Linked DNA regions of Styela clava. The protein of the gene in region 2 purifies or fractionates together with the protein of the main gene of each other region. This does not show direct contact. Links are inferred from orthologs where the notes say so. Each region holds a gene or a part of one and is shown on either strand. Other genes may lie near its edges.

Region 1 (6,978 bases), on a different chromosome or scaffold from region 2:
TGCGTTGATGCACGCTATTTGTTAGTTGTGCATATCTACAAATAGCTGTGATAGACTAGGCTTACTGAAATTTTCTATCGTTGTTTTTAAATGATAGGTTGTTGAATATTGTGAATGAAATTGATCGTTTGAAACACTCGCGAAACTTCTTTTTAAATGAGCACCAAAAATGTTATGGTAAAGAATAGGTAGAATTTCCCCGAGGTCAAAGATCGTGGAAACATCCATTGTAGAGGCACGTTGGTATGTCTCGAAAAAATCTCTGGGCGTACAAGTTTAATTACGATTATGCTTTACTTCTGGAACTCGTTCTTGGCACGTTTCAGGTTTATCGTTTTAACGTTTTGAACCACGTGTTTTGATTTGCTATTGACCTTTGTACGCACACAACTTTAATGCATTCACTCGTGCTGCTGAGAGGGCTGGTACGTTCGAATCTTGTGTAGGCGAGAGAATTGTGGGTACGCTCCTCGCGCAAGTGCTGGTCGGTTACGACCGCCACCCAAATAAAGCGACCAACCAACTTGCTTTTGCCAAGACTGATGTCGAGAACACGTGACTAGCCGAATGACAACATGTTCTTATAGGCTTTCTCTGCTGAAACGAGTGTGAAAAAATAACCAATCCTATTTTAAAAACGGATGAGGAAGTCGTTCTGCAAACACTAGTATTTGGAGACTACAACGAAAGACGGGTGTCCTAAATATCTGGTGTCTATATATGGACACACATTTTAGTGACATCCCCTAAAGACAACAACACATTGATTGTGCCTTTAGTTCCATTCCAATATATAAAATTCTGTGTCATTCCTGGCATAGGGATTTACATAACGTGGCACGTGACCTCAAGAGAATTTGTTTATGATAATCAAAGTACACCACAATCAGACCGCACTGTCCGCAGCTAATTGAATAATAGCATTGTTGCTTATATACTTTTTCTATGGCTGAACTATCAAATAATAGAGTCCAGGCAACCGGAACTGCTGGTTTCTATATCAACATTGGTGAAGCAATTATAAAATGGATGCAAAATCTCTGCTCCAAGATGCTCTTTAATATCAGAAGCACAGAGGAACTCCTCATATAAAAATAGAAAAACCCCTAGAATATCTCATTATTAAGTACAGTACATCCTCCCTAGAGTTTATGTTATGTGACCATTTTACCTGTATGAGAAAAATCTTCTCTTGTATACATCAGTACTTGGTTTCAAACTATTATTTTGTCTTTACCATCACTCATGCTGTTTTTCAATGATTGCAGTATTAAAATTCATGCAGCCTTCATATAATTTGGACCCCAGACATTTAGAACTGGAACTGAACAATCCAGCAAGGCTGCACTTTGCTCTTAATCGATGAAATTTGTTTCATTTATTCATCATCAAGCCTGGAAACTTCTTTTTAATTGAATATCATTGAGAACTTGTAGTAGTTCCTCATCTTCAAATCGGCCTTCTAGACTGGGGATAAGTGCTTTAGCTTCTTCGGCAGTTTCAGGACATAAGTTCGCGAGAGATGCAAGCTCGAATTTATGGAGTTTCTTTTGAAGTAACAGGCTGCGAACACTTGCTATTGTTTCACGATTTTTAAATCGACTGAAACGCTGTGTGTAGTTCAGTGTTTTCATAAATACCTAAATAAAACAAAAAATAAATGAATAATGGGAACACTAAAAATATGGAAAAAATGTATTTTGCAACAGGATGTTGCTATTTATATCTCAATAATAATAGCAAAGACAACTATCCATAAGTTTCGTTCATCTTGTATGCGCTTTTTATGTAGCTATGCTTCATAAAATATAGTTCAGCATTTTCATATTTATTCTTGTTTCCAATTGTTGGGCAAGATTTATACCTCTGATAATTCTTGTTCTTCTTCAACATTTTCATTTTGCTGTTTCCGATGTTCAAGTAACATATGAACTTCCGAGTTGAGCAAAGTTTCTGCATTCTCAAATTCAGGAGGAAATTGTAGCTGCGATGCATCTTCTTCTTTGTCTTCCAACACAGAACTAAGAGCTTTTGTGGAGGAGGACGTCATGACAGAAATTTACAAAGAAATTATAAAGTATATAAATATTTTATCTGGATAAATATAAGATATCATCTTCAATGCCATTTTGTGGCATAATTTAGGACTTAAATAACTTTATTTCTACAATGGGAAACAAGCATGGCAGAAAAAGGGTTCAATTGGACTAACTATAACACAATCAAGCATTTTTCACTGTTCGTCAAGTAAACAAAATTCAAAATAGAAAATCCAATAAAAAATTCTGCATGCAAAAAAATGAATGTAATGTAGTTCTAAACTGATACCATACATCTTTCACAAAATTGCTATATTTGTGAGGTAGTTTTCCACTGAGAAGACCTGTCCCACCAGTACTGTAATTTATGAAATATCCAACATGCAGAATACTTTAATCGCTTTTTGCAAAATAATCTTCTTCTTTAGTTAATCCAGTCATTTGTTCACATACTTTCCAAAGTTTCAGACCAGTTTCTGAATCTGTTGCAACTGCTTTTAATTGTCTCATCCTCATATTTGAGAAATACCCTCCACTTTTTTCCTTGAGTCCTTTTTGAAGGCAACAGTACAAAATGGTTTGGCAGCCATAAAAAAGTGGACGCATGAAGCAAGCTTTTAGTATCAAGTGGCCAACCTTCATCAAGGTATTATGGATTGCTCCTGTACCAAGTTCACTGGCAATCACACCAGGATGAAGAGCATAGGTTGATATAGAACTGTTTTCTGGATCCTCGGATCTCAGTCTTTTATTCAGTTCTGTTGTAAAATATACATTCATCAATTTTGTATTTGAATATTGTTGAATTATCTGCTGATAAGGGCTTTCCTTGGTAAGTCCTAAATTTATATTACCAAAGTCAATTTTTCCAATTGTATATAAATCAGCACTGACATTTACTATTCGAACATGTTGGGAATCTGATGAACTTTTCAAAAGTGGAATTAAAAGATTAGTTAAAAGAAAAGGTCCGAGTTGATTTGTTGCTAAAATAATATCATTCCCATCATTTGTCATTCCAGGAACAGCAACACCTGCATTGTTTATTAAAATGTCCAGCCTAGGTTCTGTATCAATGAAATTCCTCACAAATCTTCTTACATCCGCAAAATCTGATAAATCCAGCTTCATGTAGTGCACCATATCGTTTCCACTCTGGCTCTTGATATCAAAAATAGCTTCTGACGCACGCTGTTCATTTCTACTGGCGATAATTACCCGTGCCTTGCGTTTTGCAAGTTGTAGAGCTGTCTCTTTTCCTATTCCATAACTTCCACCGGTAATAAGGACAGTTTTTCCGTCAATTTCCAAATCATTCTTGAATACGGGTCCTGTTTTGACAAACTTCATCCACGCATAAGTTATGATAATGAGTAAACAACTCAGCGCTACCAATAGACCACCATCCATTGCATTCGGGAATCCATATAGGCCGCGAGCCGAGGCCATTTATCTTTCAGTTTCGTAGCGCACATCAGGTAACTACCTGAAAATGATTTTAAAATGTTCCTTAGAAATTTAGTAACAAATATTGCCTTGTTCCCACTTCCAAAAGTTGCACGTTTTACAGAAAAGACGCTTTTACTACAATAAATATGTGTTACCATCTGTCCTATTTTCTCTGCTTTTCCGGTATCATGGGCCAATGAACGCAGACTTCTGCACGACGTAACAGTCAAGTTAGTCAGCTGTAGGTGGATCCCCAGTGGTCGGATGAATATCAGATGTACTCAACTGCTCGCTTTTGCGTTGAGTAGCCTTTCCATAGTTTTTTTCAGTTACCGGTAATATTAGTCCAGTTATTCTAAGGAGGTGTTGAAAAGTATAGGTAAGATATTAAACACTTGTATATCCTTGCCATAAATAGCAATTTTAGTTGAGCACTAGCTCATAAGACGTTGTTAAATAGGTACCGTACGGTGCGGTAACTCCAAGGAAGGCTAGACCTAGAATAATATGTCACAAACAACGATATTTTCTGGCTTGCATGAAATGTTTATGATTAATTTAATGACTCTTCTTGACTATTCAGCAGACTTATACTACTATATAGGCCACAGCATATTTGGAAATAGAAATGAATGGCTGTTTCTGTAATGCACGGTTGTGTGAAAGAGAAGAAATTAATCAATTTTACTAATGTCGGTTGGTCTAAATCTAAATTCATAGAGTCGACAAGAACCTGGGAAGCAATGATAAGTTATGCCGGAGTGGAAAGAAAGGTAGCATTGGAAATGATTGAGAGGTGAGAAATGAAGTTGTAGACAAACAGTTGATGTTTCAAAATATAGTCTATAGTCCATACTCATACTGTCATAGGACATTTCAGACTGTGATATATCAAAATTTAGTGTAGATATAGTCTAGTAATGGTATGCAAACACTGCTGGACTGTAGAACATGCAATGAGCATATATACGCTCATTTAGTACATCAGATAAAATGCATTATGTATTCAAGGTATTAGTTAGTATTTAGGGGTATTTTTAAAATCATGCTGCTCCAAATATTATTTTCTTCCTTATTTTAGATACTGTACTACAAAAGAAAACGGCAATGTTCCACCAATCCGACCTAACGCAGGCTCTGATCCCTGCTGCTATCAGTGCTATAAAATGGATTAAACAAGAAGTCTTGAAGCTTAAAGGTATATGAGAATCATAATAGTTGCAAACAGCTTAGATGGGCTATTCATATTGAAATACTTTAGCACTTTTCTGCAATTGGAACTGCCCATCAAATTCATGTTGGAGACTTCATTGAGATTTTCAATTCATTTTTTTCCCTCGACTATGAAGATCTTTTGAGGTTAACGAGGTATTAATAAATAAAGCTGAGGAATTTGAAGAGGATATGAAGAATGTAAATGATACCAGGGCACGTCTATTTAACACTGTCAAACATAAGGATTATACTCTCCACCCAACAATGATTCACTGAAGAAGCATGTGGCCCTCAAATCAGTTCTTGAGTTGGCAAACTGCAAAGAAAAATAGTCAAAATAATTTATGAAAGTGTGGCAAAATCAACTTAAATTGCACAGATTTTTGTTTTTGTATTGACTGCAGAAATCACAGTACACCTATAGAGGAAAAGTCGAATTTTGAGATAGTGGATTTCGAAAACAATTCAGAAGAAAGTGAATTAGATATTACAGTTGATTTAATAAGTATCATACATTTGTTTTTTTTTTCGGACATTTGTTAGTGTCGTAGTCCTGTTTCTAGAAATATTATTGCCTTTGTTCAAATACATAACCACATAAACTAAAAAAAGATTAATTGTAAATTGTAATATTTCTGTTCACTATGTTATGTACATATTGTACATTCATTTAATTTTCTTGACTTTTGCGGTAAATTTCTAAGTGAGAAATAACTGATTTATTTGTGTTTTCGTGCTCACGATGTTAATTTGTGACTTCATTGCTTAAAAATAAATACGTTTGATACTTGATAGCTTCTATAAAATGGATGTAGCTTTTTATGCTGTTCTTGTTGTAAACTGCTTGTGGTTATTACATAAAATTTATTCTCAAATGTGAATCAGCGTTGTTGGTGTCGCTGCTTTCGAGGTCACTCCCGACTCCTGTCACACAATTAAAGTATTTTTTGTTGTTGGTTACATGTATGCCATATTTTTCGTAATCTACCTAATAAATTATGATTGACTGAGGAAGTCCGATTTTGGTCAGGCAAAACATTACAGGAATACATTTGTGTTAGTGTGCTGTAGGGCTCTCGAATTGTATAGTTCTTATGTATGCGTTGTAAACTTATGGTTATTGAATTTCCGGGAACCTCTTATATTCAATTTCGCACCAGGATTGTGGAACAAGCTGTAATGCGTTCATTATGTTCGTTTTCACACAAAACTGAAGAATTTATTTAGTTACCAGATGTGCGCTACGAAACTCATTTTCTGGGCGTTTTCATGGTTTCGTCTCACGGCCCATATCCGTGGTAAGGATCTACAAGTGTTTAATAATTTACTTATACATTTTTCAACAACGTCTTAGCATAACTTAACTAATAATAACTAAACAGGGCTATGGAAAGCCTGCCCAACTCAGCGCAAGGTCGAGCAGAAATAACTAATATTCATCCGCTCGCTAACAGCTGGTTTAATTCAATTGTTACGTCATGCAGAAGTTGTAGAGTTAAGAGGTTCTACAGGTCCTATTTCTGATTATTGGGCTGTCTTGTCAATCTACTTCCGTAGCTAACTCTCGACACAGTAGTAACGCACACATAAACACATCCAACTTGTATGAAAGAACTTGTAATGAAAGTATATTTACAGTATATACAAGTCACAGTCCAGTAAAATTCCACAATCAGGTTAAAAGTTCCACAGTAGATAGATAAATTTCCACAGCAAGTATAACGGCAGTGTAACACAGTGAATGTCAAAACTTGATGTCTGTATGTAAATGTATTGTATGTGTATTGTATGATGTGTTGTATGATGTGGTTACAATATATTTGTGTCTCCAGCCCAACAACAGTACTTAAATTTAGCTACAAGACACAAAAACAATAAAAGAGTATAATTAGCCTTCGACATACAACTCAATTAGAACCTATATTACTAAATAACCCTAAACATCCTAACAATCCTAAATTAGCATAATCAAAACCCTACAATTTGCAACTCAATGCCGCAAAGTAATCGCAGCTACTAACAAAGAAATTCATGTGACCAGGCCTCATTGCACTGTCTCCCACACTAATAAATAGGACATTTAGTATAATACAATAAGAAAAACAAGGGCATGAATACAAATCAGCTGATATAAGAGAGTATTGCACCATCATTGCCAAGACTTCAAACTTTCTCTCGGTCAGTGACGCTTAATATAAATAAACAAATAAATAAACGAGAGCAAGTCTGAACATGTTTATCGGGACCAGAATAACTAAAACTAATAGGTTAGTTC
Region 2 (8,722 bases):
TGTATGAATCTTGACATACCAATAATCTAGAAAGATATTTTAATTCTATTTGTGCGTTGTGGCCTTTTTCCTCTACGCTCCTGAAATCATTCATCGAAACTTGCTTTGACATAATACTGTTAATCAGAGTATTTTTATGTTCTGTGTCCATTTGGTATCAAATGGTACCAGTTGGTTGTGTTTTTCTCAAAACAATTTTAGTGTAAATTATTTCATTCAAATAGGCTACAAATCTGACCTGGTTTAGCATTTGCAAACTTGTCGCCAAAATTTGACAATATTTTCGAAATTAGTATCTGAAAATATAACAATGTGCATGGAAAAAAATTGAGAAATTTAAACAGTTTCTTTTGCACAGCTGGACTTTCTGAAAAACATTTTACTGAACATTTCATCGTGATATTGAATTGCTTGCATGGCAACCAATATTTTTTTCATCCAAATGTGAAAAATTAAGTTTTAATCGACTGACCGAATTCACTATTCGAATACATTTAAAAAAACTTATATTTCAAAGTATAGAATTCACTTTACATTGGAATTTTTGGAATCAATTCGTCTCCATGAAAACTTGAAAAAGCTATATTTATCGCTGGCTTTTACAACATTGTTAACCAGAGAGTTTTCACATAAAAATATCTCAATTCTCTTATTGGAATAATTTTTAAAATGTTATCGAATGTTGGCTTCGGTCATCCATTTTGTAATGCTATAACTTCTCGATTTATTTCGTGGGTTGGGGTGTTAGAGATTATTCAGTGCACAGTTAATTTTCATACTCAAGACGGAATTCTGTTGAATTGTTCAACTATTTTCAGTTTAAATATAATTTTCGGGATTTACTGCAATGTAGAACCGTAATATCTGTTCTTAGATCTATTGCGAAATAAAACTGCTCAATTGATAGGGTCTCACAAACAACGCATTTCCCATATTAAGTTACTACAAATAAATTTGTATAAATTGTGATTATTTTCCAGTTGTAATTTCAATTGAAAGTGTTTTAATTCTGGCTGCTAGTGTCTTTCATCACCCCTTTTGGTCTCCCCGTCCCCACTGTAACTACTGTATTATATATTGCATTTACTGCATATTCAGAAAAGATCTCCGATTGAAGACATGTTAATTATGAAAATTGAGTCTGTGTTTTTTCGATTGAGTCGTTGGGTAGGTATTAGGAAGCAGGCTGGGATTAAGTCAGTTGGGTGCGATGACGTAACGGTTCGCGATTCGACTGAGTTTCGTTGGCATTGCAGTTTTCGTGGTGACTGTACATTTAAACCCATGTGTATATCCGCGGGTTCAAACTATGTGCAGGTGCTGAAACCCGTAGGTTAGGGTTAGTATTCCATAGGTGCAGTAGTATGCGGGTGCAATTGTCGTGGGTTCAAATGTCCATGTTTGGAGCGATAAGGGCCGAAGAAAAAATTAACATAAAGGTGGGACGGTCGATAGTTTGATTTGAATTTCGAACAGAAGGTTACTATATGCCTTGGCCTGTCTGTTTGTCGTATTTCCATGTGATGCCTGTAGGGTCCTCTTATTTTCATAGGCAGCGCTCTCGAGGTGTATATCTATTCAATTGCGGACATGATTCTCCCTGGCACCTTAGCTCGGTTCCAAATACTTCTGGCTTCCTGCTATCTGTATATGCTCGTTTTACCGTCCGATCCTGATTAAGGGCTCGTTTGAATAGCCGCCCGTGTGAACAGAACATGAAAATAAGTAAGGGCCGGTGCTTGAATACTCGCCTGATGTAAAAGCTGATTTTTCAGTGGTAGAGAACAATGGGAAATAAAAAGCGCTTTTGTCACAACGCTGTTGAATTTTAAGCGCTGGTAGATAACACTCACGCCTTATGCGTCCAATTACATAACAGATAGCCTTGATTACTCAAACTGGGCGTCTGCGACTACCAAGTGCGTCGTTTCAATATTGATAGGGCGTCGCAATTTTTACTTTAAAAATAACAAGCGCCTGTGCTTGAATAAGGGCCCGGTTAGTGAGTTTGGTTAAAAAAATATGGGCCCGGGCTACAAAACGAGCAAATACGGTATATAAGAATACCCAGTCATGTTTTGAAGCGTTTTTACCAGTTATTTTATGACCCATTTCAATTGTAGAAAAGCCAACAAACGTAACAAAAAATAAATGCATTACATTCCAAGAAATCGACTTTCTTTTCCATGAAGATGAGTGTGTGAACTCAATCCTACTCAATGTTGGTTATGGATAAGTCGGGTTATGCCCCACCATTCTCTGTTAATCTTGGTAGGAAATTTGTAAGATAAGCAGATGGAGGTCGGTGAATAACCTAACATATAAGATAAACAACACAGAAAATTTAGCGTTGGGCAATGACAGTATAGTGCCCGATAAAATATTCCAATATTACAGAATATTAGCAAGCATATCGCACCGCTGACAGTGCGTTTTTTGAGTTATTATTCTGGCAGGAAATCCTGTCGACAGAATTGGAGAAATGTTTGTTTGTATTCTATCAAGTGCTCAACATAGAAAAATATCACAAGTTGAGCATCGTTTATCTATTATTCAAGCTTGGGAAATATATCCAATTGACAGACTGCGAAACGGTGAATGCACGTTCCGGCAAAGTAGGAATTTTTGGTAGTAATTACAACGTTTTTGATAGTATTTGCAACGTTTTTTGGTGGAAAAAGTGGGTTTGTTGGGAAGATATTGTTCCATGCACGATTGATGGTCGAAACCCATGTATTCAGAGGTAATTTGAATTTAATATATTAATAGACATGATATGTTCTGGGTTAGGATAGGAATTTAAATTGAGAAATGGGGAGAGTATTTAAAATAAGATTCTTGATATGTTTTGGGTCAGGATAGATGTATTACTTTGGCAAATGGTTAGAGTAAACATGTGTCAGTGTGTAATTATGGAGTCGAAATAAACTTATACAAGTGTGATTCATGGTAAGCTATGGGTTGGGGCTGTAGGGTGGAATAGAATAGCTACAGGAGTGGTGACTCAGGCAGGGGCCACGGCCCATCTAATTTGGCCACATGGGCCGTGGCCCATCAAGCTATGGGCCGCGGCCCCATCGGGAAAAATTCAATTATCTTACTAAAATTTTCAATTTTTACAATATTGTCAATATTCGAACCGAAAAAAAATCGCGAGATGCCAGCAAATTTTTTTCTTACGGTAAGCCTCTATATTTAAATTAAGCAAAATACCAAACAACAGAAAAGAATAGCCTACTCCTGTAGTATGTGTACCAGGTTAGGGTTAGGACAAAATCTTGTTCAAAATTTTTCACATTATAGTTCTATTATGAGTGTGGTGACTGACTGTGTTAGCCAAGTAAATAGTCCATTTACACAACTTGATGGGCCGTAGACTGGTAGAGGAATCACCACTTCCACTCTAGAATAGGTAGGAATAGCTATAAAGCTCCCATCCAGTGGCTAGGTATGACATGGTATTTTTTGGGTTAGGCAAAACTAGGGGTTCAGGTGTAGTTTAGTACGGTACCACATACAGACATATACTTCTAATTTGAAAAGCTATATGACGTGATTGTGACGTCGTAGTTATGTAAATTTTGGATGACATAGTCAAGTGGGGTTAATAATACTGTAATAACATATGCAAAAATAATTTTGTCCAGCCCACTAGGCTTGTTGTACTATACTACGTTAAACCCAAGTTAGGATAGATATGAAAATTTAGTCACGTTTTGATTGAGTAATCATATGTTTGCTCGGTATCAGATGCTAGAAATACGCTCTGTCATTGCACCTCTGACTACCCTGCATGGGTTCGCAGGTCGAATGCTGTGGGGGAAAAAATGTCCTGAGAGGATTGCTGGCCTTCCCGCCGCCGTAGGCCATATCACGTAACCGCTGAATGATTTAAACAGCACAAGGCTCAACTAAATATGGAAAGAGTACTGACAAATTGCAAGTGCCATTCATTTGCTAAATTCAGTTTGCCCGATAGAGATATCAGTGGTTGACACAAGTAGACAGTGGTCTACATCTGGGTTTCTTGAACTGGGGTTCGTGATGGCTCCACGAGGGTCCGCAACGAAATGAAAAGATTACGAAATATACATTTAATGGTGCTCCCGAAGTATGCGAACCAAGATGGCGGACATCGGAACGTAACATGGGTAACAGGTTAGGGTTAGGCGATAATTTCTTTCCAATTTTCCTTATTTTAGTCCTATTATCAGTTCGAAGACTAGCCAAGAGCCTCCCGTAGTATTTATACCTAAAATTATGGCCTAACCCTAACCTAGTACACATATTACATTCCGATGTTCGTCATCTTGGTTCGCATACTTTGGGAGCCCCCATTTAATATCATGTAGGCTATATATCCATTGTCACGTAGCGATTCGTAAACAAGATAATGTCGTAAGTTCAGGCGATCGCAAATCGTAATTGTTACGAAACCAATGGAAGTGAAAAAATTATAGTAAAACGATCCTTGCTTCCAGTGTCTGTGAGGTGGACCTTCATCGGGGAGCAACGAATATAAAAGTATTTATTGCACTATAGCATTGGTTTCCAGCTTTTTATATCCTGTGGCCCCCATTCGGAGACTTTTAGCACTCATGGCCCTCCTGTTTATCACTTCAGTGGTATTTATGATGTTATTTTGATTTGGAACAATATTTCCCTGCCTCATCTGATATTCAAATTTTCTGTATTCCAGCGACCACCTTGTATATGAGCATGTCTTGAATCTTTTCTTGGATTTTTATTTTCTGTATATTTTATTGTTTATATTGCCTTGTATAAATCAGAATAATTAATATTTTATCTTAATAATGTTGTTGAACTTTCTTATCAGGATTTGAAATAATATTGTTGTAAAAAAATTTATTTGTTTCTTGCTTTGTTTTAAGGAATATTGTAGATAAAACTAGTTTATACTGGTTTGAACCAGTTAAAACCGAGATAATCCAGCTGTGAATTGTCTGATTATATCTCAAGCTATCTGACAACAGTTTGTCTTGTTTATCATCCCGTGCAAATTGGAGCAGACGAAACCAGTCTAATCCAGTATGAGCGAGTCAGAACCGGTTAGTCCACTTCCAGATGGTTGGATAAAGAAGGAAAGCAGATCATCAGGTAGTTATGACTCACAATTGAAGGATTTTAACCAAGCATTATTTTAGTCCAGTGGTTCTCAAACGGTGGCGCCCCCCCCGAATGGGGGTATGGGCAATTTTTCGAGGGGGCTCGAAGCTAATTGAAAATGGTAAAAAAATGTTAGATTTGATCTTGCCTGCCTTATTTTGGATATTTTACATTTCGAAACTTTTTATTCGTATCAATATGTACGTTCCATCCACATATTTTCAACGTGCTTTTCAAATAAATCATACTTTTGCCTTACTATCTGTTATTTGTAGCTTATTGTTAGCTAGTTATTTTAGAGGTGGGACATGAAATTTGACAAATTCTAAAAAGGGGGCGTGGCTCAAAAAGTTTGAGAACCACCGTCCTAGTACATTTTATTTATTTATTCAAGACATTTGAAACGTCCATATAAAATGACAAACAAAAAACAATAATTAATAATAAATAAGGGGAAGTAAATAGTACAGAAAATGCATTATATAGGATTTACATATTCATCCCGGGAGGAGAGGAAAGCCTATAAAGTGGCTTGATTACATGGCGAACCACGGCCTCTTGTCTGTTTCCATACTATGTCGGGTATAGAATTAGTTATCCAGTATGCGAATCCTATACCTAACGTTTACCACGCTGCGCCACACTGCTGTGTGTGCAACGTGCAGACATGCAACATATATATATATATATATACAGAGAATCTGTGATTGTGCAAGTATCTTGAATTCCAATTTTTTGTCATTTTTGTCAACTTTCTTTTTGTGCTTCTCAGGGAGACATTACTATGTGAACAAATACACGAATGCGAGTCAATGGGACAGACCAACCTCAGAAGCAGTGAAACCAGCAAGACCAGAGGTAGGAGATGATTTTTTTTTTTTTCTTGAGTGAAAGGAAAGCTGATGAACCGTGTTTGGAAGCTCGAGCGATCACAAGTCAACAGTTATCTAAGATGAATATAATAAAATATAATCATAAGTTGCAAGAGTTTCCAACAAAGGAATTGAAATTTGCTGTTGTAAATATAGCTATCAATCGGAGTTATGTAAGACTATGGAATCGCTTTTCTTGTCTTTGTTGACATGCTTGTCTAGCGAGGACAAATTATTAATCAATTGTGTCAGTGGACCAGGTGAATAGCCAGGAATAATTGAAGGAGGGAGATCTGGAATTTTTATTAATTGTCGAGTTGGACCATAGCAGCCAGCGAGTCCGACTGGACGACCCTGACTTTGTCCCAGTGTGAGAATAGCTGGGCGGATGCATGAACTAGACTAGTGAAGGGAGTCTTTCTATTAACAGTGTGATTGCTGTTTAATGAGATTGAGACCAAATTGGGAAAAATGGGTAAAGTGAGAGAAATATTAGTCCTAGTAAATCGAACGTCTCACCTAAGTAATCTGGAGAAATATTCCCCAAACTCTGTAAAGTCTGCATATGTTTAGGTGGATGCTTGCCCAGAGCCATCTTCACAAAATTGCTATGTATGATACATAATGGGGTGTACTAGGGCAGGGGTGTGCAAACTGTGGCCCGCGGGCCAAATGCGGCCCCCAAGGAAATATTGTGCGGCCCGCTGAGAAGTGCCAATTTTGAATAGTGTGCCCGCAAAAAGAATTTTTAGTTTAGTTATTGTGACACGTGCGAGAAATTTTAATCACTTTACGTCGCAAAGCCAGTACCCGAGTGCCACTGTCATATTAGCAAAACTAGCTAGCAAAAACAGTTTTTGTGTGTGAAACTACTATAAACTATATCTTAAATAAAAGTACAGCCTGTGACTTCACTCAATCACTTGAATCTGGCCTTCCTGTAATAAAGGTTGCACACCCCTGTACTAGGGTATTGTGTATTGAACTGCAGGTCCTTTCTCCTTGTTTACTTTATATTCCGGATCCGTATGTGGCTGTTGCCACAAGGATGTGTGACTGAGATAGTATTATGAAGATAAATAAAAATAACATAATCTCTTTCCACGAAATATTAAGTATATTATATAGTATATAGCTATTTGATTAGGCCATATCTTGTTTTATCTGGAGAAGTTGGACTATGATCTAACGCAGTGGTCGGCAACCTTTTTCCAGTAACAGACCGGTAAAGCCTGACCAAAATTTTGTAATAAATAATATGCGTTAGAAAATGTATGTTGACAATACATTCAAAAACAAAGGTGATACTATTCATGTAACGTATTTCTCACTCACGTTAAACCCACTTCGATCTTTCGTTTTTGTAATTGCCATTTTAAAAACCCAACCTCACATGAAGATAACAATGGCATTGTACGTTTTCATGTCACCATTCTGCGGACCGGTAGTGACCTTTCCACGGATCAGCCGCGGCCCGGTGGTTGCCGACCACTGATCTAACGACAAATATAAAATATACTTGATATCACAAATATACTTGATATTTCATGGAAAGAGATTATGTTATTTTTATGATACATAAAATTGCTTTTTTATATTTCATTTGGGGGTCAGACCCTCAAAAACCCCTGTAGTGGCAGCAAGCCCCCTTAATCACAAAGAATAGTCCTCTGTTTATGACATGAAACTCAGAAGGAATATTTTATTCCTTTTGATATATATAAGTTAGTATATTTTTGTTTTGTAATTTGTAACATCAGGCAGTGAAATTTGAAATGACCTAATTTGACTAATTTCAGATACTGTGGAAAATAATATGCAATTTGATGTAAATTTAATTCAAAAAACCATTTCCCTTTTAGTTTGAACATTCTGAATTTTCTGTTGTGATTTGAATATGTTGTTCATTGAGCAAGTTGACTGCTACAAATGTACAAATCTTTGTGCACAGTGAAAGTGAATGTACAGTGCCGTATTTCTCAACCTTTGGTTCATCACCCAAAACTGTCCTGAGTTATTTCATTTAGATGGGGGCTTGCCAAGTTGGGTGTAGTGACCCCATAGAGGGTGCGCAAGGAATATTAGGGTACGCAAAGCCCCAAGGGTTGAATGGTATGTTTTATCTTCAGGAAGTAATTAAAAAAAATAGAAATTTGTTATGCAAATTCAACGTTACTCAAATTTCATGAGACCATATGGTTAAAAAGCTTTCTTCTTATTAGGCTCTGTCAAGTATGAAATATAAATAGACTATAGTACAATAGCTTGCCAAGTTTGGGAGAGATCATAGACCAGATTTTACTCACTGGTGCAGCCAGGGATGGTGAAAACCAAATAAATGCTTTTTCTAGACACTTATCGTATTTATTCGAGTATAACTCGAAAAATTGCTGGACGTGTTGCTGGACGAATTTTTTTTCTACAAAAAACTACTCTTGATATTTGCCTCGATTAATGCAAAGCCATCTTGCTTTTGAAACATAATTGCTGAACAGCTGGCTTTTGATTTTCAAATTTCAATTTTATTTTTGTGCGGTCAGGAACGGTCCATTGATAAAAAGATATAAAAGTCATAGCACAGTCAAATTGCTGACTCGTGTGGCCTATTCACTCCAAAGACAGGAAGTGTTCGCTTCCTGCTTTCGCTCTCTTTAATCCAATTATATGAAACCATGTGTTCAGCCATATGATTGTGTGTGTGTAATGTCTGTATTACAATGCAA

What was found. Proteins that work in one complex are often made in the same cells at the same time.
Region 1: the proteins of peptidyl-prolyl cis-trans isomerase NIMA-interacting 1-like (region 2) and DNA-directed RNA polymerase II subunit RPB4-like purify together in Homo sapiens (co-immunoprecipitation; 3 studies listed by BioGRID and IntAct, with this or other methods). This does not show direct contact. The link is inferred for Styela clava from reciprocal best matches to the Homo sapiens genes PIN1 and POLR2D.

Annotation. Positions count from the first base shown.
Region 1 is NC_135263.1:10,962,398-10,969,375, forward strand, and holds DNA-directed RNA polymerase II subunit RPB4-like, read right to left. Parts: upstream 2,060-6,978; 5' UTR 2,051-2,059; coding exon 1,865-2,050; intron 1,641-1,864; coding exon 1,389-1,640; 3' UTR 1,040-1,388; downstream 1-1,039. Other genes in the region: dehydrogenase/reductase SDR family member 13-like, read right to left, coding at 2,433-3,449. UniProt on the Homo sapiens protein: Core component of RNA polymerase II (Pol II), a DNA-dependent RNA polymerase which synthesizes mRNA precursors and many functional non-coding RNAs using the four ribonucleoside triphosphates as substrates.
Region 2 is NC_135254.1:5,014,801-5,023,522, forward strand, and holds the start of peptidyl-prolyl cis-trans isomerase NIMA-interacting 1-like, read left to right. Parts: upstream 1-4,867; 5' UTR 4,868-5,051; coding exon 5,052-5,118; intron 5,119-5,899; coding exon 5,900-5,985; intron 5,986-8,722. UniProt on the Homo sapiens protein: Peptidyl-prolyl cis/trans isomerase (PPIase) that binds to and isomerizes specific phosphorylated Ser/Thr-Pro (pSer/Thr-Pro) motifs.